Linked DNA regions of Tribolium castaneum. The protein of the gene in region 1 purifies or fractionates together with the protein of each later gene. This does not show direct contact. Links are inferred from orthologs where the notes say so. Each region holds a gene or a part of one and is shown on either strand. Other genes may lie near its edges.

Region 1 (16,749 bases):
GATGACATTACCACCATACGCATATTTATACAGGGTGGCTCAGCTAAGACTTTCGAGCCTGATATCTCAGATATTTGTCAACGGATTTTTATGAAATTTAAAATGCAGATATTTTAGAAGATACAGATTAAAATCCAATTAATGCAACAACTCAAGTCTTGAAAAGGTAATTTTTACATGCCTTTTTAAAATGTTAAGCCTTTTAAGACATATTAAAAAATTGATCGTCAGTGAAAAATGCTGTTAGAAAAAACTCGTTCGTGTTTCGCAAGAAAAATGAGAAAACAAACTGTTAAACGTGGGTACAGATGCAAAAGTGTAAATCTTTATGAAACAAATGAGCACTACCATTGAATTTTGGTCAATCCTACTCGCAGAAACGTAACTGTCACGCAAGGGACATTTCACAATTATCTCTCACCCATACAAAACTAAAAAACAATATTTTTGACTTACTTTTGGTACTGGATGCTTTAATTCTTCCAAAAAGACTAAAAGACTGAACAACAACTGAAAAATTCTAAACATTTGAACATTCAGAACTTTGGAAATGTTTCGTACACTGCTAGTTGGATTGATTCTCTTCAAAAGCTTGAATTACAGCCCCAACTATTGCTTCGTTTCCAGAGACGTGTTTTGTCCTCACTCGATTAGTTCAGGTACGCTTCCTGTGTCTTCAAATTAATGACGATTCTTTGAACCTTAAATTTCATAAATAACATTTCACAAAAAGTCCAACGACACTTTCCATAGGCGAACATTGATCCCTTTTTCAACAACACACAAATTTCAGCGACTGTTGTTGGTTTTTAAAGTAATTTCACCAAACGAAAACAATTGTTCTTTTTTGACAGCGCGCACACTTTTGACAGTTTTTTTCAGTGGTACATAAAATACCGCATAGAAATGTTTCATCAATTGTTTCAAAGGGTGACTGGCCAAATTACTAACAAAATTTGGATTAAGCTTTTAACAACAAATTTTTATTTTTTTCTTGGATCAGCCGAGCGATTTGGTTAATTTTTTGTGTGGCCATTTACTTTTTGGGGTTTAATGATCCAACGGTAATTTGGCTTAATTTAAATAAAAGAAATGTGTTTCAAAATTTCATTTTTTAACTTGTGTTCATTTTTTGCCTCCTAAAATATGTGCATTTAAAATTTCATAACAATCGGTTGACAAATAACTGAGATATTAAACTCGAAAGTCTTAGCTGAGACAGCCTGTAGTACATTTATTTTATAGGAAATTTAAATTTCTACAATTTCTTCCTAACATTTTCCTTGTAGCTGTAACCGTATTCGCAGCGTTTTGAAAAATATGGAGCAGGGTGCAAATTGATAAATGTTTTAAAATTTATTATTCTTCGTCATTGTCAAAATTTCCAGTTTTTCTTCTGTGTAAGACAGTTTTGACAACTGTTTGGCATTTCTTAATACGAAACTTCAGATTATTTTTAACAGATTTACAGATTTTAACTCGTTTTCTTGTAAATTGGTTCATTTATTTTACCTCGTGGATGATAAACCAGTCGTTTTCACTCGTGGTTTGATAATCCACTCGTGAAATAAACCGTCCGATTTACACTCAAACTCGTTAAATAAATAACTATTCAAATACAGCGTGGTAAGTCCACCGCCATCGCTAAAGGTAACCACCAGAATTCAAAAGCTAGTATTAAATTTTTCCTATCTTGTTTCTTGTTCGAATAATAGTCTTTGATTAAATGCCATCAGTGGTGTTCGTTTGTTGGATTTATTTTAGACTTTAAAGTTGGGAAAATACGGGCCGATTCAGATAAAATAATGAGCCTGACGATCTGGCGAGGCAACCCAAAAAACACATTTCATTTACGCCTTTGATTCAATTTAAATTAGGATTTACAAGTTGAATCCAAGTTATCAACTTATGTCACTTTGACTTTAGCGCAGAGAACGATCATTATTGCCATTCAATTTTCGCGGAATGATAGAGAAAGTAGAAAAGTCTTTTCGATGTATAAACTACAATAAAATAAGTATGAAAGAATGAAACATTAAAGGTAGGTAATCAGTTTTTCCAAAATCATAAATTGCAACAATAAACACGGAGACAAAAAATTGACTTTTAGCGAAAAATGTGTTCAAAATGCTGGCCTCCTGCTTGTTTTTCTTGGAAGAAAAATGGCCCGATTATACGATACACGAAGATGCGAGATGCCACACTAAACATTCACCAAAACAATTTATTGAAAATGTGTTTCACTTATCTACAGTGAATTTTTTTGAGCATAGTAATGACTGTTGTGCACTATCATTGTTATAAAATTGGGCTTCATCACAAAAAAAGTTTCTGAAGTAAGTTGTTGCCAACTTGTATTTATGTTCTGATGAAGAGACAAAACTCTAATCTGTGTTCAAATTCAGTTTTCCTAAGTTCTCGTACTAGCTGAACATGATAGGTAGGAAATTTATTTTTTCTCAGAAGGACGAACTGAAGTCTGACTAATTCCTCTTGGTTCTGTGTTATGTAAGCTATTAAACGAACTTCATTTTCCAAAGTCCTAGCAGTGTGTTTTCTTTTTTCACAAAGAGGCCAATTTCTTCAAAGTTCCCACTCAGGACGTTTAACGACCATGTCTCTAGGATGTTGTCTATTTGGGAAACGTTGGGCAAACAAATTCATTGCAGCAACAGCAATGCAGAGTACAATGTGACAATAATGACTAGCACCGATGTTAAAGCTTGTCAAGCACTGTCAGCAACATAAGATAACTTGGATTGCAAATGCAAATCCTAATTAAAAATTAGATCAAGACGTAGATGGAATTTGTTTTTTGGGTTGCATCGTCAGATCGTCAGGCTCTTTATCTTATTTGAATCACCCTGTAGATAGAATTTACATATTAAAAAGATTACTTTTTTTAATTTGAAATTTTTTATTGGGCGTAAACGTTTTCTGAAGGAGGGATATATTTATTTACATCAGGAATACGCAGCAACGACTCAACGATTCGATTAAAAAATAAACATGAGAAAACTAAATACCTGTTTTTCTTGAACCAAATTATCATTTTTTCAAAATAAAAAATAACTGAAAACAAATTAAAAAATTCCTTTAGGTTTTCCATGCTCAACAAAGGGCACAGTAAAATCATTCTGATTTCATTTCTTCTCACTATATTTGCACATCTGTGTCCATTTCAGTCAGTTTTCAAGTGTCTCATATTAGGGGTCGAAGAATTTAAAAAGGCTAGAAAAATGAGTTTTTTTATTTTATTTTAAAATGCTACTATTTTTTTTCAAATTTATGTATGTTGTTACTAAGGTCTTCAGAAAGTTACCATATTTTTTTCATGCGATTTGAACGTAATTTTTTTTAATAGAAAAATAAATAATTGACTTTTTTAGCTTTTTAAATTAAGGTTTCTTCGGGCTTGCTTCGGCTTAGAGGCCCCGTATCTAATTTGCATTTTAGCGCAGACTAACTATTTTTTGTCCCCAACAATATTGTTATCATGAAATATTGCTTTAGTCAATCTTCACTAATTCGCTTGGTAGAGTATACCAATCGATTCTTCCTCGAAAAAAAAGTGAAATTTTTTGGTGTTTTTGCGATCGTTCTGTACGGTTCTTCTGAGAACCGCGATAACTTTTCACAGAGTTAACATTTTTCGATGATGAATTTTGACCAATAGGTGCCCCACGGCCGTGTTAATAACCTTATTGTTTTTTTGGGCTAATCGGTCGTCAAAAACACCTGATCTTACCCAAAATGTAAAAACCTTCCAAGTGCGATCTTGCGTCAACGGTTTACTGTAGACAGTCAAACAAATAGTCATCTTGTAGGTCCTTAGGAGAGCTCTTAAGTGGTCAAATTTGGACGTCTGCGCTTGTACCGTTTTCATGTTATCAAATAAAAACTGCATTTTTAATCAAAAAGTAGCAGACGACGTAAATGTCAATGTCAGATAATTTAATTTGTCAGACTTGGTAAATCCACTTGATTCAATTCAATTCAATTTATCAAAGGTTGCGATTCCCAAAATATTTTAAAAATTGATTCAATGATTCAATACTGTGCAGTTCCTCCTTTTCACATCGAGTAAATGCAGATTAACAACTCACATCACACATCGGTTTTCGCAAAAATCCAAGCAAATTAAAAGGTAGCAAATAGTAATCAGATAACGAGGGCCTACAGGGCCAGAATAAGAAATGGCCCGAAGGGTCAGTGCAGCGTCGCAGACCAGGGTAAGCGAAGCACAACCTTGTTACTATTTGTTTTATCTTCCATTCACTTGTAGGAGAGCTGCAAAGGTTTTGTCTACTGATGCACAGAACTGCCACAGCTAACTGATTTCCGGCGTTACACCCTGTTGATGTAAGAGCTTCTTGGGAATGTGGGAAAAAGAGATAAAATAGTATATACAGGGCGATTCAGTTAAGATTATGAGCCCAACTACCTGGCGATGCAACCCAAAAAACAAATTTCATTTACGTCTTTGATCCAGTTTCCATTAGAGTTTGCAAGTTGAACCCAAGTTATAATCCTATGTCACTCCGACATCAGCACAGTAATGGTTTGTTTTTACATTTGTTTTACAAGAATTTAATGCATGAATGTTTTTTTATGTCTCAATTTTTGGTGGAATGAAAAGTATTGTCAAATCTTCATTTCCATTTGAAGAGCAACTTTTATTTAGATTTTAATTATTTCGACGTAGATATTTATTTAAATACCTACGACGAAAATAGTAATTACAAATTTCTAATTATACCATTAATTAAAGCTTAAACATAAAAAATAATAATTGTTAAATATAGTGGAAAATAGTGTTTCTACATGTTTTTGATAAATCCATTTACTTACTCATAACGTTGGGTACTATTTTATTAATAAAACTACTAGGTTTATTGCGTTTTCTGTTCAGTGTATAATACTAATAATAAATAAGTATTAATTTAAAAAGTATTTTAAAATTTTGTAAATTTGTATAACCCTTTATTGATTTTCTAGTTTTTAAATAATACTTTAATAAAATAATCCTTTTGGTGTTTAGTTCATTAAAATTAAACAAGAATTTTTGACGTCTTATGTCTTATTGTGTTATGCAATATGAAATAAAATTCATATTAAAAATATAAGACAAAAATAGATTTTTCATATATTAATTTACTAGTAAGATCTAAATTAAAAACGTATCTATTCATATTTGTTGCTGTATTCTACGAATTTTTGTTAAAACGAGCACAGATCTCCAAAGAACTTCGCAGGAAGCAAATAAGCGAATGTTTTTACATTGATATAACCTCATTAATAAATTTATTGCCATAATTTGTACATCTACTTATTTAATAAATTCACCAAATCGTCCCACCTGTCCCTGGATCAAGCGCGGCGTCACTTAGTCTATAAATAGCACCTATCTTTCTACAACTTAAATTTACTATTTAATATTGACTCAAGATAAAATCCGTTTTTCTAATAGCAAACCTACAAATTCCCTTCAAAAAAATACATACGCTACTGGTGCTTGCGTCACCCTTAATTACTCAAGTGCTTATAATTTAAATAATCAACGGATGTCCGCGTATCCATCTCGAAGAATTAAGTTGATTAATTATTTGGAATGTGTTGACAAAACTGTCCCACGCTTAAAATTAACAACGATATTGTACACGCACGTGTTTCATAAATGGGAGACCCGGCACCAAGGCAGGGCAACAGCAGAACTAGATTTTTACATTCTTGAAAAATCTCTGGTTTACACTGGCTCGAACTTACTCCACAACTAATTGCGTCAGTTATAATTTACCTATGTTAATAGCCCTGGGAATGGAAATACATATATTTAAGTTTAAGGTAGCGAAAATTTCGATGTCATATGTAGATGTGTAAAATAATAGGATAATAAATTATTTTGATGTGACTGTAAAGTTTTGTGCAAATAGATCAAGATAAGGGAGTGATTTATTTATTCTTTTATTATTACAGAAATACGGTGAAACACCGGTGAAATCTAACATTTTTATATTAAATATTGTGTTAGTTTCCGTGAACAATATTGAAAAATAACAAGAATTGTTTTTGAATTGAATTAATGCGACTGGAAGATTCAAGAATCATTAATATGAGTATTTATGAATAAAACATTTCTTATGATCTTGACTTGCTTTTATGAGACATTAAATTCTAATGATTAAATAAACATATGCTGATTACGTCACTTGAACCCGCTTGTTTGGACATTATCAAATTAATAATTAATTACTCTCCTAAATTCAGATTGCAGAAATGGTTTCAACAAACAATAAATACAAACTCTCTTATCATTTATTAAATTATTACTGTGCCCTAATTTAATTCACAAATAAATAACTTTAATAGTCAGAATTGTAAATCATGAAGAGGAACGATATTTTATTTTCATGATTCCATGACCTACCACCTATGCTGCAGCTTGTTTTCTTGAAAGAAATCTTGAAAAAATAAAAATGAATTAAGGAACCAAAAATACGTCTGTATCTTATGCAACCAACAATTAACAAATTTTAAAAATAGAAATGCTATCACTAATTAAACATTATCATTGTTTACTTGTTGCTTTAAATGTTTTATATTATTTTTGCACCAGGACTACAAATATTAATTTTCTGATTTCTCGAAAAGTTGCTGACCTTGAAATTGACGTTTGTCCAACAACATAACCTCAGTTTCAAAGTGGTAAGATGCCCCTTAAAGGCTCTGCTCCCGTGTGCCTCAAGTGCGAAACAAGTGAATCTCCACTATGGACCAACGCCGAAAACCTGGGGGCAATCTGCTTGGACTGTGTTAACGAAGCGAAAGATAACCTCAAATCGGAACAAGAAGAGGAAAACGATGATAAATCGGAAGACTCAAAATCCATCAAACGCAAACAGCGGACTACCAGGTCGTATAAAACGAGGTTAAACCCTTTCGCGATTCCTAAAATTGGGACGCCGAAGGGGAGAGGCAGAAGAGGCATTTTTAAGAAGACGCCAATTAAAGCACCCTCTGCTGTGGCCACAACAATCACTTCTGAATCGATTTTTTATAAAGTGAGTATTATTTACTACGATAGCAAGACATTGTGTAGTTGTTTTTAGGGAAGTTATATTCAAGTGGGTGATATTGTTTCAATGCTAGATGAGGATGGTGATATTTTTTATGCCCAAATTAAAGGGTTGTTAACGGATCAGTATTGCGAAAAAAGTGCTGTGATTACGTGGCTTTTGCCTACACAAGAGAGTCCACCACCTGAGGAAGGTTTTGATCCTGCTACTTACATAATAGGTAAGGTGGTCAAGAGGGCTGTGAAAATAGTAAGAACTTATTATTATACACTATTCACGATTGTTTCAAATTCGGACTATCTATGAAAATCTGACGTTTTATTTGGCAGTACTGTGAGTTGTCGTAAGAAATTTATTTTGGGTTATAATACAGACTGATCCAGAAATACTGAGTCTGTTGGCAACACTGTACTTAAATTTTTAAGGATACCAATGGAGTACTCTTCCAGTTAACAACAATTTAACATTCTTGTGGGGTTATACGTCAAATAATTGTCAAGAGAAATCGAATTCGGTTACAGTGTTGCAAATTACGAGCACAAATATTTTCAAATGTGTTGCCAACAGACTCAGTATTTCTGGATCAGTCTGTATAATTGATGACAACCAAGCACTGTTGTCAGTTTGCTTCGTTTTTTAAATAAATTATTATTATATAAATATATATTATTGTATAAAAAAGATCGATCTGTCCGTCTTGTATTCTTTAAAGCATCTTTTGATACACGCTTTCTTAGCAACAGAAATTACTTTCGGCATTTTAAATTAACAAGCAGTAGAACTGACAACAAAGTGAAATTTTAAAAAGTGAACGTCATAAAGACAGCACCTGACAGGACCTGAGACCAACCTAACAAAAATATATCATCTACGCCTGCTGTGAGTTTAAAACAATCGTGAATGGATAATAGCTGTCTCAAAACTATAAAAACGACAACGTCGCATTTTCTCTTAAAATTAGCTGTTATAAATTATTCAGGCACTTCAAAAAATATTAGCTAATGTAATTTATACTTTCAATGAGAGATCTGATCATTAATAACTATTTTACAGTTTTATCAATCTGATTTAAAAAAAATAATTCGGTAAAATGCGTCGTTGGCGTTTTCGTAGTTTTGAAACAGCTAATAAAATAGTTATTAATGATTAGATTTCTCATTGAAACTATAAATTACATGAGCTATTAATTTTTTGAATACAGGGTGGGGTCCGAGTGGGGTATTTCTGAAATCTTTTTATCCGCAACTTTTAAAACATCTTTCGTCGCTGTCTATGTTTTAATATTATTTGAAGTTAAAATTTAAGCCAAAGAATGCTTTATCTTAAAAACGTCAATAACGTCAAAAATGTTCATAGTTGTCAATCATCGTTGTTTATAATCAGTTTTATTTCGATTTTAAATATGACGCATTATTATTCAAATGACGAAAAAACAGACATGATCCTCATCTATGGCGAATGTCGCAAGAATGTAATAGCTGCTGCAGATCTTTATTTACAAAGATATTCAAATAGAGAACAAACAAAATGACGTCAAGTGTGGCTTCCTCACAAGAAAATTCGAACGAGAACAGTTACTGATCCAGACAACGAAGTAAGAGTTCTTCAGGAAGTGGACGAAAATTCAATCAGCCAAAGGGCTTTAGCAAGACAAGGTCGAATAAGCCGAAAATCAGTAGGACGGATTTTGCGTGCTAATAAATTTCATCCTTACCACATTAGTTTGGTACAAGAACCCAAACCAGTGAGACTATCCAGAAAAATCTCAGAAAAATTAAATTTTGATGAAAATTTTTTTCGACAAAATTTTATTTATTGATGAGGTTAGATTTAGTAATAATTCGTGAAACCCATTTCCAGACTATTTTTTCAGTTAACGTATGGTGCAGTATTATTAGTGAGCACATAATTCGACCCCATTTCATTGATGGGAAAATGTGTCGTCATTTTTTCGAAATGGAATTACCTTTATTGCTAGAAAACTTGGACCTTAGTACTCGGCAAAGTTTGTAATTGCAACAAGATGGTGCTCCGCCACGCTACTACAGAATTGTTAGAAATTATTTAAATCAAAATTTTGAAAATCGCTGGATAGGATGAGGATCTAACAATATTTGGCTTTCCAAAAGTCCAGATTTAACACCGTTGCGCTTTTGTGGGGTGCAGTAAAAGAGAAAGTATACGAAGCACCAATTCAAAATGTTTAAGATCTTAAAAATCGGATTCATAAATGCAGAGCTATTACGTCAGCAACTTTACGACGCGCCCGTCAATCATTTTTTAACAGACTCGATACATATATACGTGTAGGCGGTCAGCAATTTGAAGATCTATTATACTGATTTTTGCAATAAATAAATCGTTTAATTGGTCTAATTTGATTAACTGTCATTCATCTGTCATCTTAAAGTTTTCAACAACATACTTGGATTACTAGTTTGAATTAAATTGAATATTGTATCAAGTGTTAACAGTTTAGTGTATACTGGGTTGCGTTTTTGTAGGTTTTTCGAAGTACCCCAGTCGCGCCCCAGCCTGTATTTATAACTAACTAACTAATTTTGAGAGTAAATGCGACGTTGGAGTTTGGCAGCTTTGGAGTTACAGCTAACAATTGTTTCAAAACTATAAAAACATCAACGTCGCATTTTACCGAAATATTGTTTTTAAATAAAATTGTAAAATAGTCATTAATGATAAGATCTCTTATTGAAAGTATAAATTACATTAGCTATTATTTTTTGAAGTGCATGAATAATGTATAACAGCTAATATTGAAAGAAAATGCGTCGTTGGGGTTTGATACAGTTTGAAACAGCTAACAAGTCATGCGTAAATAACAAAATTACGGATAAGTAAATATTTTTATTGACAGACTGCTGACAATACTAACCGCTAGTTTGTTTTAGAAGTTTTGGTTTTGGTTAATAATATAGGGTGAGTTTGAATTCCATCATACCCCGTAAAGTGGAGAGTCGTCACACTATTTCGCACAATCACGAAAATTTGATTTTGGACGATGCGTCCATATGAAGGCAAAAACCCGATGTAAAATTTAAGCACAAAAGACGAGTACTGGTAACTACATTTAAAAGAATGGAACAATTAAAAACTGTAAGATAGTAGTACCTCTCATTTAAAGCGTTTTGCGGCTATTCATGATTTGATTTATCAGAAGTGTCGCGTTAGGGATGGAATTAAGAGAAATTTGATTTTACGCGTTTGCAATTTTAAACTACGTTTCCGGTTTCTACACTCCAGTTTTTACAGAGTATGATGGAATTCAGACTCACCTGTATATTTAATACAGGACACATGTTTAAAAATCTGACAGATTGACAAAACACACATCATTAAGTTACCAGAGCAATCTTGATCTCTTTTGTTAATTTTAATTTCAGGTCCAGAAGAAGATGTCCCTAGGAAGTTAGAGTGCATGGAATTTGTAATGCACGCCCCCTCTGATTATTACAAGTCGAAAAATACGCCCTATCCGGCTGTGCATGCTCCTGCACAACCTGGGTATATATGGACGTCACTGGAGTCGATAAGAAGATTGTGTGGAAACCCATTACAAAACAACTGACAAAAATTTTGTGGATGTTTTGCTTTTTGCTTTATCACGTATTATTTTCTGTGTATTACAAACTACGTGATTCTTTTACTACTTTTTACATATATTGTATTAACACACTGATTACTCTTGTTTTTTCTGTTTAAATAAATTTATACAAGTACATATAACTATTACTGTATTTGGCGACAATGTAGACAATAAAACTGAACATAAATGAGACGTTGGTCTGAAAAAATTTTTCTAAATTTCACTAAATCTGTTTTTTATTTTATTTTGTGATGGATAATTTTTTTGTAATTATCCAAAATGGATAAAAGTTTGGAAATTTTAAATTGTTTTAAAATTGTATTGTAAGGAGTCATAATTATAGTCATATATTAGGTGATTTAAAACTATATAAAAGATATACAAGATGACTATTCACTCGACCGTCTACAGCATCGCCGGCTTTATAAAATGACACTTTATCTCGCCTGGGCATTTGTCAAGTTCAAGTGATTCCCAATCGAGCTTCAATTCGGGCGGAATATTTGACACATGCTGCTTTTGACGGTAAATTATTTTTCAAAACTTCAAAATATTCTTTGTATATCTTGTTTTGTTGTATCCTTCCTGTCAAGATTTTGTTAGTTGCATTGGTTTAGTTGGTTCGTTGTACTTGCGTTTAAAAATTGTCATTGTTGACAGCTCATTAATAACTTGACACTTTTAGCAGTTGACCACAGAAGTTGACGAACTATTATGAAATGAACATTGAAAATATGTATGCACATTTCATAATTGCGTATGTATTATTATAGATTTTTATCAAAATATCCATACAGGCTGCTCAAAAACTGGCGCACCAACTCAGTGGTACGTTATTGAGAAGCAAGTGCAGATTACGGGAAAAATGTGAAAAAGTTATATTTTTAAAAATCTGGAGCTACAAACTTATTGTGTAAACTTCTTTAGTTTTCATTATTTTTTTATGTTTTTATGTTTCATACCAGGTAATCGTTCTGTAACAAATCGATGAATAATTATTTTTAAATTTACTATCAGATTTTAGTAGTTTTTTTAATTTAAAAAAACGCGCGGAATTAAGGAATCACTGTTTCAATGAATTTTTTACGAAATGCCCAGGCGGGATATTCATACATTTCATTAAGGAGGACGTGGTCTACAGTAAACCGTCGACGCAAGACGCACTTGGAAGGTTTTTACATTTTGGGTGAGATCAGGCGTTTCCGGCGATCAATTAGCCCCAAAAATAATAGGATTCTTAATACGGCCGAGGGGCACCTACTGGCCAAATTTTATCGAAAAATATTAACTCTGTGAAAAACTAATGCGGTTCGTAGAAGAACCGGGCAGAACAATTGCCGAAGACCAAAAAATTTTCCTTTTTTTCGACGTAGAATCAATATCAGAAATATGTGTGTTAATTTTACTACGTAATAAAACTCCTCAAATACAACAACTTTTCTATATAAAGTTTTGCAAAATTTGTAATTTTTACTGTTTTCCTCCTTTTTTTATGCAAACGAGCCGGTCAGTTTTTAACAATTACTTTGTATTCATAGCAACAGTTTTCATTGTTGCTTTAAATTATTTAAATTGTCCGTTTCACAACGAAAATAGTCTGACTCTTTATTTTTGTACCCATAGGTGGGTACAAGTTTCAGTACGTTATCTTTTTCCAAATTTTAAGTATATTTGCGAATTTTATATTGAAAAATTACAAATCAAAAAGATGTTTTATTTGTTGAGCTCTGTTACCTATTAAAGTTAAGACACGTATTTCTAATACAAATTCATTACAATAGATATTGGCGAATTATTAAAAAATTCAAATCTTCCTTTTAGGTGTATTAAAGATATCTAGTTATTTGAAATTTGAAACGAAGACATTATTCACCCACTTTTTGTGTAGAATTTAATGGTGTAGCCGGAGAATTTTTTATTACTTTGTTTTGCTGTAATTACATACAGAAGTATTTTTTTAATAAAGAATGAATTATTTAAAAGTTACGTCTTAAGATGAAACCAAAAATTCTAATTACACTTATTAGCACTTGGATACTGCATTTAATTTTATTTTTAAAATATTAATTGAATAAACATTATTGTTTTATATTTATAATAATGATATTGATAACCCATAAATAAATTTTAGCAAAACCGTCAAGACAAACTTGACAACACTCAGAATAATCCACGACCTGGTGTTTTTGTATATTTTTGTATAGTTTGACATTGCGTGTACCACCACGTAATAGTACAAAAGCTTTGGCTGAATATGCCGTTAAATAAACTAAATATTACAACAAAAATATGTAAATGGTGAATGCGCCGGGACACCTGTAAACCTTCAGCTTATTTACAAATATAGAACAGCCTGTATTATATTTAATTATAAGAAATTATCATAAATTACTGATTATTATTCTGCGTATAAAGTGACCAAAAAGTGATGGCTGTATAGTATTCCAAGCTTTAGACTTGATGAATTTAAAAATTTAGCAATATGTTATAATATAGTATGCACCAGCTCAGTGGTACAATGGCGGACAAAAGTCTTGGGCCAATAGAAATAACTACACTTTTGATCATAGCTTTTGATTCTTGTCATTTTGACAAACAATTCCATTTGTTCAATATCGAAGACACTGTCGCACGAGGAAGACCTAGAGTTGTGTCATTTTGTCCATGCGGCATATCACTTTGGGATCTTACTTTATTAAATACGAAACTAACAGCATTTTTATTTTGTCAATTACTGATTGATGTTAATCACAATGACAAAGCATTATTTACATCAATTTGCTTTTGATTAAAAAAAGTGATGTATGAAGACTTTTATCCGCAATCGTACGTTGTGAGAAGCATGTGTAGATTAAGAAAAAAATCTTGAAAACATTTCTAGTCGTATTTAAAAAAATTTGTAGGTCCAAATTTATTCTGTTAAATTTTTCAGTTCATTAATTTTAATGTTTTTATGTTTCGCGCTAAATACAGGCTGCTCAAAAACTGGGGCAACAACTTAGCGGTACGTTGTTGAGAAGCATGTGTAGATCTCGGGAAAATTCTTGAACAAATTACTAAAGCCATATTTAAAAAACTCTGGAGCTACAAACGTATTTGTATTTTCACCTTTATTTGTAGGCAATTCTCCACCACACTCCGTTAAGTTGGTGCGCCGATTTTTGAGCATCCGGTATAATCATTCCCTAACACAATGATAAATGATTAATTTTAAATTTACTATTATCCCTAGCAGTTTTTTTAACTTAAAAAAAATAAAATTTATCAAAAAATTAAAAATGATTGTACAATGTGTTCCAGAATGGTTGTTCATCAAATCACCTATAAAATTTAAACGTGGTGTGCTGTGTAATTGAAATGTGTATGCCGTCAAGGTGACAGATTCGTCATAATACTACAAAAGACTTCAAATCTAAAAACGAAAGACTACATAACAAAAAAAACATGGAAATATAAAACACAAATCAAGGCAAACCCTCCGTTTCAAACAAATTTGCCGAAAAATGCAAAAAATGAATAAAAAGCTAATTCAATTATTTGACAGACATGACAGTACTTAACTATTTACTACAAGAGTCATCATTTGGATGAAGCGGCACACTGAATTTAAATCCTAATGCCGAGTTGATGAACAACCATTATTGATCAAATTGTATATGTGCCAACACTGGTACATTTTCTAGAAAACCGTTTCAAATATGATATTTTTTTATTGTTAATCAAATTTTATTGCGATTACGATTGTAAAACAACGTTGCCAGATACCACTTATTAAAAATTTGTAATTAAGGCGCTCCCCGAAAACTGTCAATATCAAAATGTCAAATCAAAAAAATATATGTTTTTACCTTTCTTTCCTTTTATACATGTCTCAAAATCGACAATAATTTTCAACCGAAAACCATTGTGGCGCCTCCAACTGGCAAATAAATTTTGAAAGCGGTAAGTTTTAAAAAATCTCATTCTCAAAGAAATTTTTCTAAAGGTTGTTTTTTCCTTGCCATTGCCAGTATTGGGTTCAATTTTTGCATGCATATTTACAATGATGTTGTGCATGAATGGTGTATTTTTTCCGATCTGTCCAGTATCTTGCGTTTGGTACCCAAATAAGATCAGCAGATCATAAAAATGAATTCAATACTAAATAAAAATGTGTAGTTTAGTGGCGAATTAATTTCTAATCATTTTGCTTTTTGTTTGGTACTGCTCCGTGGTTTATTTTTTGAGATATGTATAAAAGTATGAACAAATCATCTTAAGAGTTCTCGGGGGCCGCCTTAAAAGGAACGCCTCAACTTTGCCTGTATACCATAGTGTAGGTACACACGGTGTATCAGAAATACGTGTGTTAATTTCACCACGTAATAAAACTCATCAAATACAACAACTTTTCTATACAAGGTGTCTCAGTTAAGATTTTCGAGTTTAATATTTCAGTTATTTGTCAACGTATTGTTATGAAATTAAGAATGCAAATCTTTTAGGAGATAGTCTTTCAATTAGGGAAAAAATGACCTCAAGTAAAGAAATGAAATTTTAAAACACATTTCTTTTATTTAAAATGAAGCCAAATTACCGTTGAATCATTAAACGACGAAAAATAAATGGCCACACAAAAAATTAATCAAATCGCTCGGCTGATCCAAGAAAAAAAATTAAATTTTGTTGTTAAAAACTTAATGCAAATTTTGATAGTAATTTGGGCAGTCACTTTTTGAAACAATTGATGAAGCATTACTATGCGGCATTTTGTGTACCACTGAAAAAAACTGTCAAATGTGTGCGCGCTGTCAGAAAAATGAAATTGTTTTAATTTGGTGAAATTACTTTAAAAACCAACAACTGTGGCTGAAATTTCTCTGTTGTGAAATGTTATTTATGAAATTTAAAGTTCAAAGAATCGTCAATAATTTGAAGACACAGGAAGCGTACCTGAACTCAGTACCGAAACTAGGTATAGGCGAAATAGGCCCTTGCCTAGGAGCGCCAAAGTAGGTATAGTTTTGTTTTCCAAATTCCAATTAAACAAAAATTTGTGCAACCTTATAAACAATGATTTTGCAGAAGCGTTTGTTTTGGAAAACTCATTTTGTAAAGTAATATCTTGTAAACGTACGTGACTTTCTTTGTTTAGTTGTTAATTATTTTCAGTTCTGATAATTATTCAATAAGAGATTAAGTAGTTTTTGCTGGTTAAGCTTCTGGTATACTACAAGAATTAGTTCAGTTTGCATTTCATCGGCAAGATGGCTTTCGGTCTTTTGACTCGTGTCACTGAGCCTTTAGTGTTTGTGTTAAATTTGAGTTTCCAATGAATTTGAAAAATTGGCTTAAAAATGTCAAAAAGACTAAATAAAAAACCGTTAGGACCGTTTATCAAAAAAATTCCTGAAAGCAGACAATTAGAGCGAGCTAGCGATGCCAGGTTTTTACAAAATTTAGTTCAAGCCGAGTCTGATGATTACTGACTGAACCCATTAAGATAATTCTTATTAAAAAGACTATAGAGGTAAGTTTTATTTTTGTTTCTGTACTTGTAACAACTGCATCTTGCGAAAAAAAAATTTTCAACATTTATAAAACTGATGCTTAAAAATTAAAATAAGATCGTGAATGGCACGAAGACGTCTGTCAGGTTTAAGCATTATAAACAAAAGTTAAATTAAGATTATGATGAAAAATAATAAATAAGTTTGCCAGGTGAAAGTAAGGAAGGTTTCTTTAAAAATTTCAATATTTGGATTAAATTTAGCGGATTCCTACATTATTATTATTATTATTGAATTGTTACATACCTAGTCTTATTTTTTCTATTATTTATGTCTTTATATTCAGCTATATGCACATAGACTAAATCTCAAATTGGAAATTAAATGTGAACCTATTGTTTAAATAATTTTATTCTTCAACACTGTCAAAATTTACGGTTTTTCTCCTGTGTAAGGAAGTTTTGACAACTGTTTGGCATTTCTCAGTACGAAACGTCAGATTATTTCTAACAAATTTAAAGCAATTTTAAGCCTTGCTGTGTCTATTTCGAAGAATAAAATGTTGTATTCAACTCGTTTT
Region 2 (16,516 bases), on another chromosome or scaffold:
GAAGCGAATTAAATTAGCAAAAAGTGGTCACAATTGACCCAAAAGTGCCCGACGTTACATAAGATTAAATTTCATCACTTGACTCAAAATTTTACCAATAAATTCGAATAAATTTTTATTAAAAGGGCGCTAGAAAAGAGTTTGTGTCAAATGTGGGGTTTGTAAAAGCGTTATTTTGGCGTGAAAATGGTAAAAAAGTGGAAGACTCACCTGGAAACAATGGCTACAGCCCCGTGAAGGTAGTTCTCGTGGTCTCCGCTGGTGGTAATATGGCGCTGTATTGCGCAAGTGCACGTGGACATTGATCAAGGTCACGTGTTTGACATAATTAAATTGTTGCGTAAGGGGCATTGGAGACAGGTCATGATTTTGGCTATTTTTGCAACAAACCCAATGATAAATTTGAGTCTTTTTTTGTGATAAAATTTTGAAGCAAAGGCAGTTGTTTGTGGGGAAATTCGTTCATCGGGTTTGTCACTTGCCCTTAAGGCCTTAGTCTCATAATGGTAAATAATCAATTATTTCTTCACTGCTTTTGAAAATTTTGAAAATTGAAAAAATAAGAAAAAAAATGTTAACACCCACATTTATCATGCAGTAACTTCGTAGCAATTAGAGATAACCCTATGGAGCTTATTATCGTTGGAAAACTCTTTTAATTATCTAACTATTCCAAAAAAGATAATTGTTTCCGACTAACAGTTTTCAAATAAATTGCTCATAAAAGTAAAAATATATTAAATTTTAAAAAATTCATAACTAAAAAAATATTAGCAATTTGGCGATTTTCTCAACGCCAATCGATTCCTCGGATCATTTTGCATAGGTGAGGATCAAAACACTTTTTCGAATAGTTTAGTCGTAATTGGGAAAATAAGAAAAATAAAAAAAAATGTACCACCCACATTTATCATGTAATAACTTTCAAACTATTAGAGATAACCCTACGAAGCTTATTATCGTTGGAAAGCTCTTTAAACTATATATCTTTTTCAAAAAAGATCATTGTTGTCCGACTAATAGTTTTCGAATAAATTGCTCATAAAAGCAAAAATATGTAAAATTATAAAAATTCATAACTAAAAAACTATTGGGAATTTGACGATTTTCTCGTCGCCAATCGATTCCTCGAATCATTTTACATAAGCTAGAATCAAAATAGTTCCACTTTTTCGAATAGTTTTGACATAATTGAGAAAATAAAAAGAATAAAAAAAAAATTACACCCACATTTATCATGCAATAACTTCGTAACTATTAGAGATAACCCTACGAAGCATATTATCGTTGGAAAGCTCTTTAAATTATCTATCTTTTTCAAAAAAGATCATTGTTGTCCGACTAATAGTTTTCGAATAAATTGCTCATAAAAGCAAAAATTTGTAAAATTAAAAAAAACTCACAACTAAAAAACTATTGTGAATTTGACGATTTTCTCAACGCTAATCGATTCCTCGGATCATTTTACATGGGATAGAACCAATATAGTTCTACTTTTTCGAATAGTTTTGCCATAATTGAGAAAATAAGAAAAATAAAAAAATTTTTTACACCCATATTTATCATGCAATAACTTCGGAACCATTAGAGATAACCATATGAAACTTATTATCGTTGGAAAGCTCTTTTTCTAGGCTAATTTTGTGAGACTAATAGTTTTTGAAATATTGGGAAAATATACTTTTAGTACATACTGTGTATAAATCTGAATATCAAAAAAAATCGGTTGAAAATGGCAATAATTTAGCCATTTTAATCAAATTAAAACGAAGACACCGCTCATTTTAACCCAGTCAACTACACGCAACCTTAGCCACCTCCACAGCAAGTGACAAAATCCGATGAACGGCTAAAATTGATTAATTAAAAAAATGTGAAAATTGCGCCACAAAACGAAACATTCATTCATTTTTGATCTTTATCATTATCAGCAATGCTTCCACGAAATAACAAGTAGCTCGAGATAATTTCTTCCAACAAACAATAACTCAGTGTTGTCAATCAATTGTTATTTAAAAGTTGGCGCCAATTATTTCTTATTAAAAAAAAATAGTTCAATAATTTATATTTATAGTGAGATTACAATTGCTACAATTACTAACATTAATAACAAACGACGGATTTCCATTATTTTCCGTTTTAGTGATTTTAATATTTTGATCCGAGCTTGAAAAATCGCTCCCGTTGATAACAATCTCGTCTTTGCAGCGAGTTGTCGATAAATCGGCAACTTCACTACCGTTAATATTGTAGGAGATTTTATTCGCTTCGCTCGTATTATCCTCCACACTTGACATTTCGTCACTCAACACTTCTTCCTTAACATTTACCAACTCCTCAGGAGCATCGAGATTAACAACTTCACTACTAATAGTATTATTATTTTGAATAATCGGGGAAACCTTTGTGATGTTTTCATTAATACAGGGGAAATTCCACCGAGCTAGGCCGATGTTGGCCGACAACATTGCCGAAGTTTTGCGAAAGGCGCGTCCCGTGTAACCTTCGGCATTTTCCAAATTCAAATACTTGGCGATTCTGGAGGGAATTTCAAGGAATGTGTTTATGCCAACTGGTTGATTGTAACATCTGCCTTCATGATATCGCATGAAAAAACGCGAACAATCGACGGTTATTTTCGAGCGAAACTCGATGTATTTGCGCACTTTGTCTAAATGATCGGTGAGGACAAACATTCGGGGAATACCCGTATTTGAATCGGGGATTTTTACGATGAAAACATCGCCGGCTTCTTTCACGTTTTCCACTTTCATGTCGCACAGTTCGTGGTTGCGGCATGCGCCGGTGATTCCCATCAACATGGCGACCTGCAAGCGCAAACTTAACAAAAAAAAACAACAACAAAAATAGTTTTCGGTAAATAAATCTAACAGTAAATCTGAGAGCATTAAAACCGAAAAAGTATCAGAATGCAGTTTAAATTATCTATATTTTCGTAAAAACCCCAAGCCGCTCCGCGTAACAGTTCCGGCTACAGAGGCGATCAAAGTTTTTCAATAAAAAAATTCATAAAAAAAAACTAAAAGTCGTAGAGCACTGCGGTTTGTTCCATTGAATTCTACGGCTCATTTTACATATTATATCAATTTTTCACAGGAATTAAAAATTTAAAATTTTTTGCCTAAATTTAGGGTAGCCATTTGTCATAGTGGAAAATTTTATTCAATAAAAAAATTCATAACTCGAAAACTAAAAGTCGTAGAGCAACGCGGTTTGTTCCATTGGATTCAGCGGCTTTTTTTCTGTATTTTACCAACTTTTCACGAGATTTAAAATTTTCAAATTTTTTGCTCAAATTTCCTGAGTAATAAATTTGTGCCTACACCTTACCTTCAAAGTGATGAAAAAAAATTTTTTTTAAACTCACTTCAGCATATTTTTATGGACTTTTTTATGTCTTAACAACCCACAAAAGTTGTTAAAAGTCCACAAAAAGTCCATATGTTCAATTTTTGATGTTTGATTTTTTCAATTTTCGTCGCAAATTTTGTCGATTTTGGGTACCCGGAACTTTTGTCGAGCAATAGCTCCGGAACTATCAGAGATAACCCCATGAAGTGTATTACCGTTGGAAAGCTCTTTAAATTATTTATCTTTTTCAAAAAAAAATTAGTGTTTTCCGACTAACAGTTTTCGAGCAAATTAGAGTCAAATGAAAAAATTGGTAAAATTTAAAAAAATTCATAACTACAAAACTATTCCAAATTTGGCAATTTTCTCGATGCCAATCGATTCCCCGGATCATTTTGCATAAGTATGGATCAAAAGAGTTCCGCTTTTTCGAATAGTTTAGGCGTAAATAAGAAAATAAAAAAAAATAAAAAAAAGTTAACACCCCCCCCTTAAAATCGGTCAATTTTTAAAGTGTCTCTGAATCAAATAAAACCGATTCTATCTTATAGATTTTGATGTGCTCTTTCCGATCTAAAAAAGCGTTTTCTCCTAGCTCTTTTAGTTTGGCCGTAATCGGCGTTCGAAAGTTGAAAAAAAGTGAAAATAGAAACCTTTTTTTGCGTTTTTCTCGGAAACTGTAAGACTTAGAGCAACGAACAAAAAACCATCTGATAGCGCTTAATTTTATCTATTTTTTCGACCAAACCCGGAGCCGCTCCGGGCAACGGTACCGACTACAGAGGCGATTAAAATTTTTTACTAAAAAAATTCATAACTTAAAAACGATCAGGAATCTAGCGACTTTCTCAACGCCAGTCGATTCCCCGGATCATTTTACATAGACTAGGATCAAAATAGTTCCACTTTTTCAAATAGTTTTGTCGTAATTAAGAAATTAATAAAAAAATTGAAAAAAATTCGACTTGTGTATATGTACTCAAACTTTAAATTACCAGCCCTTGACGCAATTACTATTTGTTTTCATTGTATTTACGAAAAAATAAACAATAAAAAAAAACTGGCTCTCAGCAGGATACGAACCTACGACTTTTGAGTCACATTTGTCAACACATTAAATAAAAAGCGTAACAATTCAACGCCCTAAACCCATTACCTTCATAAGTAAATATTTCTCGTCAGGCGCCTGCTCCAAAAACTGGTTAATCATTTCCCTATTGAAAGTATTCGATTTTTTCGGCTTATACCCAGCATTTTGTCGCTTCAAAAACGCCCTCAATTTCAAATACTTGGAGATATCGATATTCTCATTGATAAAAATCGTCGTTTTCAGTATTGAATATTCACACCATTTGCTGGAAGGTGACCTCAGAATCGAATCCTTCTCCTGAAAGTACGCCAGAAGGAGAGCCTCCGAAACGGGAGCATTGTTCTTCGTCAAACACCAATCTTTAAACATTCTGTACGTGGTTTCGTAACGCTTTTTCGATTTTTCGGGCAATAAAGGCGGATTTGAAACGGACGTTTCTTCCATTTTTTTGACACTAATTAATCAACTTTTTGACAGTTTAACCAAACACTAGTGAAACAACATGGCCAGGCTGTCTAGAGGCTGTTTTCACTTTTATTACATGCGTTCGGAATGTGGGGAATGCTGCGCAGTGACTATTTATGTAACAAGTGGGATAAAGTCATTATAACATAACTGCGATAGGCCACACACTTTACACCAGTGTATTAATGATTGTGTGGTATTTTAAACAGTTTTTGTGCAAGGCAACGGTTGGCGATACTGTCGTTTGACAGTTGTAGAGGTGATAGGTTACAATTTGTAACAACTTGTACAGTTTTTTCGGTTTAATTCCCAATTTTTGATAACATGGATCCAAGTAAGTGCCCCCCAGTTTAAACCACACCTTTTCCACCTTTCGAAAATTGTCAATTGAAAATTTTCCTTTGATTTATTATAATTTTATGTAAAATCATTCTGACATGTCATAAATTCCCAGTCATTGTTTATTTTGGTCTTTGGGGATTAGAAATTCTCGTTTTTTATTTGCAGCTTTAAGCAAGGAGACTTTGGAGAAATTCCGTTCGAATTTCTTCTCAGACGAGAAGAATATTTTCGCTCAAAATGTGTGCTCACGTATTGACCCATTTGACGCCTGTCTTTCGCGTAAGGCCCTCGAGGAGACCCATCATGTGTACGAGCACAAGGTGGAGGCCGAAGGCAAGCCGGTCAGCAATCAAAAAAACTCAGGCCGGTGCTGGATTTTTGCAACGATGAATGTTATCAGACTGCCCTTTATGAAGCATTTAAATATTGATGATTTTGAATTTTCGCAAGCCTATCTGTTCTTCTGGGACAAGATCGAACGGTGTAATTTTTTTCTTAATAATATTGTCGAAACGGCCAAGCGGAACGAACCGGTGGAGGGACGTTTGGTGGCTTTTCTACTCAATGTAATTTTTTTTTTTTTAATTTTTTGGAAAAGATTTTTTGGGTTTTGTCTAGGATCCGATTTCGGACGGAGGCCAGTGGGATATGATTGTTAATTTGATCAATAAACATGGACTTATGCCCAAGAAGTGTTTTCCGGAGTCGTTCAGTTGCGAAACGAGCGCCAAAATGAATCAAATCCTCAAGACTAAAGTGAGTATAAACATTCAGAAAAGCTCGTTTTTTCTTATATTTTTGTTTTTTCATGGGTATGCCCTTTTTAGTGATTATGCCCTCTTTTCCATGATAATGCCCTCTATTTCATGATAATGCCCTCTAAACCATGATAATGCCCTCTAATCTCAGATTATGCCCCTTTTTTATTTTTTACGATTATGCCCTCTTTTTATTATTATGCCTTTTTTTCACAATTGCGACGTTTTTAGTAAATTTTGCCAGATTTTTATTTTCCAGATTGTGCCCCCTTTCCCCCGATTATGCCAATTTCTTTCCTGATAATGCCCGTTTTTGTTTAAGATCTTGAAAAATTTTTCAAAGATCCATATCTTTTATGATTGAAATAACCTCGATATGGAAAAAAATGTGTGACCTTTGTGTACAAATATGAATAATGTAAGATGTGTTAGAACATTTTTTTCTTTATTTTCAATTTTTTCTATTTTATTCGTTAATTTTAAATTTACAAAGTCAGAAATATTCTTTATTGTATACCTTATTGTATATTTTTTTACGTTCAAGGTTGGATTTTCTCAATTTCTCAAGGTTATAATGGAAAAAAAGTGATAAATATGCCAACTAATTAAAGATGGGAATAAGTTATAATATAAACTTATATTATTTTTTATAAAAAAATAGATACAAAGATTTAATAAGTACATGGAGGAATCTATTGCACGTTAAGACTTTATTAATTTCATATCTACAATTTCATCATTTTAAAATATAGTGTTTTTTTTTCGTAAGTACGTTATTTCCTCCCTCATTTTCCTTCCCAGGGAGGAAATAACGTAATTTCATGGTTGTTGGTTTTTCTAAATAATAGTAATAATAATTAATTGAAACTATACTTTAAGTTTTCTCTATCATTAGCCGTATTATTGCCATTGTTTTTTTTATCAGAGTAATGTAAAGGAAGAGTACTGATTATAGCGTCAAGGTGTTTTCTTTAATCATAGGAAATGAATTCTAAATAGAATATTTTAACGTCATTTTATCCTTGTGCGGTAATACATACAATATTTTTTATAAAATGTAGGAATTATTAACTGTCTAAATATGTAGAAATATACAGTTTTTTAACTTATTTTGTGATGAATAAATTGAAATTTTCAATTCATTTTATGTATTTATTTACAAAAATTACGTTTTTCCATATGGAACCAAGCGAAAAGAATAAAAAAATATAAATACAATGGGAATAAATAAATCTTTAAAAAGAAAAGTGTAAACAAAAATTAATATAGAAATGCAAATTCTTATTTTTTTCTCTTAACTGTAAGCTCAAAATGGGTAGTTAATTAGTTAAAAAATAACTAATTAATTTTAATTTTACTTGTTTTTTTTTTAATATTTTGGGTTGCTTTGAAACTGTAGTAACAAATATTGTTATTGCATTTGGTGGACGAGCCGCAGCCGAGTGCCTAATCCTCACATTTCAGTTGCGTGAATACGCGAAAACGATCCGAGACCTGATCGCCAAAGGCGAAGGCGACCTCAAAGTACAAAACGTAATACGCGAACAAATGAATACGATTTATCGTATTGTTGGCATTTGTTTGGGTGTGCCTGCTGAGACGTTCACTTTCACTTATTACGATAAGAACAAGACTTATCACAGCATTGGTCCAATAACACCTAAAGCGTTCTATGAAGAGCATGTGAAGCCTGTTTTCGATGTCGATAATAAAGTGTGCATAGTTACCGATCCGCGACCGTCTAACCAATACGGTAAAGTATACACAGTGGATTGTCTGGGGAATGTTGTGGGTGGACGTCCCTGTATATACAACAATCAACCCGTTGAACTTTTACTCGATGCCACGGCCAAGTCGATTAAAGATGGCGAGGCAGTGTGGTTTGGGTGTGAGGTTATGAAACGATTCGCCGGAAAACAGGGGATTTTAGATTTGAAAATGTAGGTTTTTTTTTGGTTGGTTGGGTTTGTGGTTATGGTTTTTTGGTTTTAGTCATAATTTTCCGTTGGTTTTTGGTGTGGATATTCAGACGATTTTGAGTAAAGCCGATAGATTGATTTATGGAGACAGTGCCATGTCACATGCGATGGTTTTCACCGCTGTGAGCTTGAACGTAAGTAGATTTTTATGTTGGCAGTGTTGCCACCTCAAACAAATATTTTTGATCACCCGGTAGATTGTATTCACACCGATATTTTTCCTGTTGGCAACACTTAATCACCAGAGATTTGGTGATTTTAGTGCTAATTTGCTTAAAATCGATAGGTTTTTACTTTTATTCGAGTATTTTAGTGCGTTTTTCCTTTACAAACGTAAATTTTTTATTAAAAGCCACAAAATTTCGCCAAAAATGCAGTTTTTCCAAGTCTAAACCATAAACTAAACCTTGGAAAATAACTAAAATAGAAATCTAGGAGCTTTTCAGCTCGGATCTAGTAGGCATGATTGTGAGCTGGCAGCACTGGACATGGCCAACTTAGAGCACAATTTTGACCAGACTCATTATTTTTTATTGTTTTTCTGACAGGAAAAAGATGAAGTGACGAAATTGCGTGTGGAAAATTCATGGGGTGAAGATCGTGGCGAAAAAGGCTACTTGATTATGAGTACTGACTGGTTCAAGGAGTACGTTTTTGAAGTGGTGGTTGATAAAAAGTATGTTCCTGTTGATGTTCTTGAAGTTTTTAAACAAAAACCGATCGTCTTGCCAGCTTGGGACCCCATGGGAACACTTGCCAATGTTTCATGTTAATTTGTATTTTTTGCTCCAATAAAATTTTGTGGCAATAAGTCAGTGTTTTATTTATACGGCGATACAAAGATAATATCTGTTTCAAAACTACAAAATTAACTGTCACTTGTCAATTAGTTTTTTCTTCTAACTAGTGGGCTTTTTTGGCACTAAACTGATCACCAGAGCCCGATTTGAACATAGAAAGTTTTTAGTTGTGACATACATGACCCCAAGAAATGTAAATGCGCCATTGCTTTTTTATAGTTTTGAAATAGCAAGTACATTAGGGAAGAGATTTTTTATTGGAATAATATCTCGCGATTGAAACTTGTGGTTGGAAACAAAGTCCGTGACTAATTCAATAATTAATTAATTCAGTTTTTGTAAAAATAATTAATTATTCGTGTGAATGAAGGGAATATTTGATAATGGCGCTGCTCGGTCGGTAAGTCGGTAAAAGTGACAGCTCGCGGCAAACACTGTCAAAAACCTGCCAAACGTTTTATAAATAAGCGTAAAAATTCAAGTGTTATTAATGAATTTATCTCAACCGATTGATCGTTTCGCCCCCATTTCACCGTCATCATAACCAAATTGCAGTTTTCAGTGCCATTCATATTTTCCCCCAACCATGTAACCAAAACCGAAAAAACCAAACTCGAGTGAGTGAAAAACCACTCAGTTCATTCCCACGCCACCGTTCTCCTCAGCAATGGCTTCAATCGAGTACGATTTGGACACATCTGGGGGTCTCATGGACGTAAGTCGCGCAAAATGGCGGATTTCCGCAGCCTTTGTGTGCGCTTTTGCAGCAAATCCAGGCTCTGATCGCGCCCCCGCAGTCCGAGGACACGAAATCGCGCAAGGGGGCCACCGCCACGGAGCACCCGTACTTCAAGCGGCCGGGAAAGGGGCACAACCACGACAGTTGCGACGCGTGCGGCGAAGGGGGCGATTTGATTTGCTGTGACAAGTGTCCGTCGAGTTTTCATCTGCAGTGCCAGTAACACGGGGACGCCCCGGTTTGTGGTTTTGGCTAAACGGTTGCGTTTCAGTGATCCCCCATTGGAGGAGAAGGATATACCGAGTGGAGAGTGGTTGTGTCACAGTTGTAAATATGCAAAAAAGAGCAATGCGCCCCAAACGAGGAACAAACGCTCGGCGTCCACGCCGGCGGGGAAAGCCCCCAAAAAGGCGAAAGTCAGTCCGATGGATTTGTTAATTCAGGCTGCGAGTTCAATGAATCCCAAGCAGTTTGATTTGCCCAGGAGTATGAGTGTACCGTGCATTTTTCCAGGGACTGATAAAGGTTTGTTCAGGTTGTTTTGTTCTTTTTTTCCATGAGATCAATTTTTTTTTTGATTTTTTTTTGTTGTTTAAATTCAACAAGGAATCAATTTTTGACACGGCCTGCTCTAATTCAGTTCATTTTCGATCACATGTTATAATTTTACAGCGTCAAGTTATAAAAAGTCTTTAGATCAACTCTTGCTGTGGAATTTAGATTGCTAGATTTTTATTGTCTTTGATAGATTATCGTTTTATTCTGTTGAAGTGTCAAACGTGCTACTTGCACGTATATAGTAACCGAAGAAATCAACATACCTTCAAAATTTCACAGCAAGAGTTGATCTAAAGTCTTTTTGAACGCATTATATAATATTACAGGATTTTTGTCAAAATAAAAACCACTAAACTCGCAGTTAAAAAAATAAAATCGCTTCAGACTGTTAGAAAATTAACAATTTTGTAGAAGTTATTTGATTTTTGATGATTTCTGGCTCAAAAATATCGAAACCAGGTGTTGGAAATTTAAAATCGCTTTATTCTATCCAACAAAACAACGTGATTTATTTGAAAACATTTTATTTTTTAAGATTTCTGCCTTAAAACGACGAAAATCGTAGTCAAAAATATAAAATCGCTTAAACAGTTTGGAAGAAAACGATTCATTTTGGACAATTTCTTGCTTAGAAACGTAGAGAATTGGTTGAAAACTCCGCATTTCGAACGATTCTTTGCTCAAAAAAAAAAAAATTCATAAAACTGGCTAAAAAAAACGGTTTATGTATTAGTTTGGAAGAAAACGATTAATTTTGGACAATTTCTTGTTTAAAAATGAGAAAACTCTGAGAATTGTCTGAAAACGGCTTATTTTACCTGAAAACGATATTTATGTTATAGTTTAGATAAAAATAAAAATTTGAGATAACGTTTTTGTTTTTTGATTTTCGATAATTTTTTGCTTAAAACGTTATCACCTATTGTCTAAGACCTAAAATGGCTTTATTCTGATGAAGAAAATAACAATTTGGGCATTAATTTAACGGAAAACATATAATTTCGGATTATTTCTTTTTCTCTAAAATGACAAATAATAATAATAATAATAATAAAAGCCTTTATTCAAGAAAAGAATGTGAGAAGGCAAAGTTTAGCTAACCTCTCACAAAACAAAACAAAAACATACATTTTTCAAAATAAATTAAAAAACCAAAACTAAAAATAAATGCGAAAAGAAAAACTTAAAATATTAATATTAGAAAATAATATAATTTTTAAATAATAGTAAAAGAAAAAATATGTGTCCTGAATACTTTGAAAAAAATAATAATAATAAAAATAAAGATACAAAATGAAAACAAAACAACAAAAGAATAATTATTCAATTAATAAAAAATTTAACTTTATTGCCTTGCTGCAGAAATTTTTTATTCGATTATTAATACGAGAAAAAAGGGTGCAGTTCAAAAGGGTTTCCCAAATTTTTGTACAATTGGCTTATTGTTTAAACTTGTTAAAAATTTAATTGATTGATTTTTCTATAAAAAAAAATATGTTCAAATCGCATAACTTTCTGAAGGTCTTAGCAACAATATAGCACATAAAATTGAAGAAAAAATTTCGTCTCATTTGAAAATAAAATGAAAAAAAAATTTTTTTTGCTCATTTTTTTCTGTAAGACAATGATTTCTTCTAGGAACAACATCCATAAAATAAAAAATTGAGTTAAGTTGTTACATAATTATAAGCCACTCTGAAAACATGGATTAAACAAGACTGTTACGTTTCACTTAGTAAAATCAATGTTGCAATTATTATAACAGCCTGTTTTATTGATTTCATTTTCATTTTTAATTTACTCTTTTTTCTAATCGATTTACTTAAATAATTTATTCAGCAGATTCTATTGTGTACTCGTTTCGTAAAACTCATTTGTAATTCAGCGTTTAAAATTCAGTAGTCACAAGTAAACGTCGATTATTGATTTAGTTTTGTCTTTGTCTTTCCGTCTGGTAATAAATACAAAATATTTTGCTAGAATTTTAACTTTAATTTTTGTACTTTTGTAGGCGTTTTAAATGTTGTATCTAATTTTTTCAGTCGAAGCCCCATATTCTCGCAACGGCCGCAAAAGCATGAAAGTCCACAAAGACCACGAGAAAAAACAAGATGCTACAATTTTCCTTCCAGCAAAGAAATGCCACGAATGTCGCAAATCTTGCCGTGTAGCTCCGCTAATATCGTGCGACTTTTGCTCCCTATACTTTCACATGGATTGCTTAGATCCACCGCTAACAACGCCACCTAGCGGCCGCTGGATGTGCCCGAATCACGTCGAACACTATCTCGTAAGTTTTCGGCAAAAAATATAAGTTGTCCGATTTTAAAAACAAGTTTCTAAAACACCCTGAGTTATTATTTGTTTTGTTAGGACTCTAAACTGTTGACTTCGATTTCGGCCACCGAACGCATCAAACTGTGGGATAAATTCAACGGTCCCGTCGATCAAGACGCCATACGTTTGGAGTTTTTTCGTAAAATTCACAGTAAAAATCCGCCGTTTCGTGTAAAAATTAAATTGGCGTCGAAAAATCGCGTTAAAGTACCGGCAATGGTCAAATATCATTATCGTAAACCGGTGAAATTGTTGCCGAGTTTGAAGGATGTCTTGCGGTTAGAGAGTGTGTTAAACAATCGAGAGCAGATGGTTGAGGACGCTGTTAAGTGTGAAGATGTTGAAGTTGTACAAAGTTTGTGTAACGGTCCGGAGGATCAAACGTGTGATAAAAGTACAGATGAAAATACGAATAATACTCAAGAGGACGACACAAAGGAGGATTTTTGTCGAAATGGTTGTATTAAAAATGAGGTAATGAATGGGGCAACGGTTGACCAAAAGGACAATATTTTTTTGCCGGACGTCGTCTCGGATATTACGAACGAAGGTGAGTTAACAATTCATTCAGAAATAAATAAAATGCACTGACCTTTTATGCCGAAGTCCCGTCTTAAACGCACCCACTGAAATAAAAATAAGGAAATTAGAACAATGTGCCATTAAATTATCGTTGTTTAGATTTTTTACTTTGGCTAGGGACATTTAATAGGTTGGTATCGCCGTCGTTGCTATGGAAACGGTTATTTTTTCTGTCCTGTTACCAACCCATTAGCAAAAACAACTTGTTTGGAAAGCAGTTTACTTCATGCAGCACTCGCTGCGCTCGTGGAGCAAACAAGGTGCTCATGTGATTGCACTTTCCAAACTCGTTGCGAAATTTTTCTAAAAATAATTGCAGACGAACCGTTTAATCCGGATTGTGTGCTTCTTTTCTCCCTTAAAATCTAATCCATTAGCACACACTAACACAAACCACTTTAAATCGTAGTAAATTTTGATTTAATTTAAGACGCGTCCGTTCGCGACAACAGCCCGTAACAAACTGATAAATGAAACGGCACTAAATAGGGAGAAAACGTCACCCACAAAAAATATAATCTGGGAGATAACTTACTTGAGAGAGGTGGGAAACAAATAGGCTTGAGTGAGTCATTGTTTTTTGTTGCGACTTCGACACTTATTGTGGCTGTTTTTTTGAAGGTCATCTCTTAAGCAAATAATTTTAGCGAGGTTTTTAAATATTCGTTATTTCGTTATTCTAAAAATTAAAGTAAAACCATTTTAACGAGAGAAATTTTTGTGTTTCTAACTAAAAGGGCGACCTGATTTCTTGCTAAAATAATTACATTTATTCTGAAAAATATTCCAAAGCGTTCAATGGAAACAAAAATTATGTGGACCTAATTTTTATTTTAGTAGAATTTCGCCAGAAAAACTGTGTTACTGGCCTAAAAATAAAACTATGTTCGGTCAAATAATTTTATTATTTTTCGGGTAATTTTTGACGAAATTTTACAAACTTATCGTGTTTTTAACCAAAAATTGTGGTGTTTCTAGCTCAAGTAGACAAAAATGCTTGAAAAAGTTACATAATTATATTTATTTCGGTTAACACATATCATGAGTTTTCCGGTAAGATGTTATGGAATAATCGTATTTTTTATTAAAGATTGTGTTAAAATGTTCTAATAGTGCAAAAATAATGTACTCGCTTGTGTATAAAAAAATTCTAGCATCTCGAAAATTTTGCTACACAAAAAAAAACGTTGCAAGAAAAATTTCCACAAAAAGGCAATTCCAAACAGAAAATCGAACTTTGGATTCGAAGTTATCAGAAAATTCTGCATAAGGATCAGTTTTAGAAAGTGCAATTTCCCACATGAGCACTTTGTTTGGTCCACGAGCGTAGCGAGTGCTGCATGAAAAAAATGTTTCTTACAAAATGATTTTTCTATTTTTCTTATGTGTTTAATTCCTCTATAATTTTGTTAAATAGAATTAGATATTTTTTTATTATTATATTTTGTATTATTTTATTATTTTTCTGTTTTTTTCCATTTATTGTCTGGGCCAAAACCTTGATCAGCTTTGCTGCCTTTTAGTCCAATTTGTGGTAAGAATAACTTGTAGAAAATTTTAATTTTGTTATCGTATTATTTTTTCTTGTAACTATTTTACTGCCATAAATAAATTATTATTATTATTATTATTATTATTATTATTATTATAAAGTGCGAATATGGGAAATTGCTTTACAAACAAGTAAGGTACAATATTTTTTGTAACAAATCTCTCAAAAAAATTTAATAAAAATTAATATTTTTTATAATTTAGTGTTTATTCCTAATGTGTTGGTAACAGGACAAACAATCAAAAATTTGGCAAGAACTGTCACTTATCGTAAAAAAATAACCGTTTCCATCTCAACGATAGCGACACCAACCTATTAAATGTCCCCAGCCATTGTTGCAAAGTAAAAAACAACACAATGAGTACAAAAAAATTTGAGTAAAAACTCAAAATACTCGAAGATAACAATAACCATTTTCGGTGTTTATTCCAACAAAATTTCGATTGCAAATTTTGCTAAAATTTTAACTTGTATTTAAAGAAATTACGTTTATAGCTCACATTAAATTTGTGCTAGAAATCGCACGAAAAAAGCAAAGTATTAACACTGTTTTACCCCAAATTTTGTGGTTTTCTGGCTTACTTTTACAAAAAAGGCTAAAATAACAACAATTTCGCTCAAATGTAATGATTTTGATCCAATTTTGGTGAATTTTTGCAAAAAAAAAAACACCACAATCAATTTTATGACAATCAAGCAAATTCTGAAACGTAACCATGGCAACAGTTCATTGCCAACCCGAAAATCGGTTCAAATCAAGTAGGTTTGAACGTGCTAACTGTCATTAATTTTTTGTCCAGTTGAAGTCGAATTGAAGCAATTAGACGACCGATTGGTGAAACTCCTCGCTTATCAGCGCATCCAGCACCTGCTCAACCAGCCGAACAATTCCGCCAACTTAAATTTGTATCTACCGTCGAATTTGCAGAGCAAATTACGTCACATGCCTATGCCGAGTGAATTGTTGACGCCTGCCGATATCGAACGAATATCGCGCGTTTTTTCCAGTCCGAAGAAGAAAATCAAGCCGAAGTCGGCGCTTCGCGCACGTGCTATGATGTGTCCGGTGGTTTCCCCACATTTCTACAATGTGCGCACGTCCGAAGTCAGTCCGAACGATGTGCGACACGACGATAGTTTTCTCGGATTTAGGCCGACGGTTTCGGCGAGATATCCCGAAGCGGTGGCGATGAGATACCGGGTGTTGAATGTGGGGAAAGGATCGTCCAATGATGTCGATTTGGAACGGTTTGGACATTGCAATAACATATCGGCAAGGCATGCGATCATTTTCTACGATGAGGTGAGTTTTTCTAGGGAATTAGGCGAAGGAAAGTTGGTACACTCGTTTGTTATACAAGACGATAAAATTTTATTTTATCTTCCACAGCGGTCAAGAAATTCAACAATCAAAAGAACGTCAAAAACAGAAAAACAATTAAAAAAAAAACAAAAACAAGTAAACAGTGGATAAAATACCATTTTATCGTTCACTATGAAATAAAAGTTTTATCGGACTTGTCTTTCGAGAATTTCGCATTAATTATTATTATTTATTAGTGTTGAAAAATGAGTTCTTAATTTAAAAAAATCTACTCAAAAACAGTTGAAAAAAGGCAAAAATAACAAAGAAATAAAAAGAAATTGAATTAAAACGACTCGTAGCGCTTTTAAGCAGTTCATTATCTGCTACTGAACAAAATTTTGTGATAATCGAGCCAAAATTTTGCAAATAATATCCGAATAAAACAACTTGGTCAAAATTCTTACTTACCTACCAACAATAAAAAAATCGTCAAAATTACAATAACCAAAAATGTGTGTTAATAGTATGGTTTTTGGACGTAAAATTGTCTGAGGATTCCAAATCTGTTTTCATTTTTACTGTACGAATAGTAGTTTTGAAGATAATCAACGAAATAGGGTCGATTTTAATTTTTGC

Evidence for each region.
Region 2: the proteins of GATA zinc finger domain-containing protein 1 (region 1) and PHD finger protein 12 purify together in Homo sapiens (affinity purification with mass spectrometry; 7 studies listed by BioGRID and IntAct, with this or other methods). This does not show direct contact. The link is inferred for Tribolium castaneum from reciprocal best matches to the Homo sapiens genes GATAD1 and PHF12.

Annotation. Positions count from the first base shown.
Region 1 is NC_087396.1:8,743,879-8,760,627, forward strand, and holds GATA zinc finger domain-containing protein 1, read left to right. Parts: upstream 1-6,627; 5' UTR 6,628-6,710; coding exon 6,711-7,061; intron 7,062-7,109; coding exon 7,110-7,296; intron 7,297-10,477; coding exon 10,478-10,662; 3' UTR 10,663-10,820; downstream 10,821-16,749. UniProt on the Homo sapiens protein: Component of some chromatin complex recruited to chromatin sites methylated 'Lys-4' of histone H3 (H3K4me), with a preference for trimethylated form (H3K4me3).
Region 2 is NC_087401.1:17,003,717-17,020,232, forward strand, and holds the start of PHD finger protein 12, read left to right. Parts: upstream 1-9,192; 5' UTR 9,193-9,473; coding exon 9,474-9,521; intron 9,522-9,573; coding exon 9,574-9,764; intron 9,765-9,816; coding exon 9,817-10,070; intron 10,071-12,145; coding exon 12,146-12,393; intron 12,394-12,476; coding exon 12,477-12,990; intron 12,991-15,374; coding exon 15,375-15,877; intron 15,878-16,516. Other genes in the region: Mpcp1 (solute carrier family 25 member 3), read right to left, coding at 211-351; uncharacterized protein LOC103313307, read right to left, coding at 2,055-2,828, 4,529-4,906; bleomycin hydrolase, read left to right, coding at 5,252-5,261, 5,435-5,835, 5,888-6,025, 7,492-7,967, 8,020-8,140, 8,555-8,779.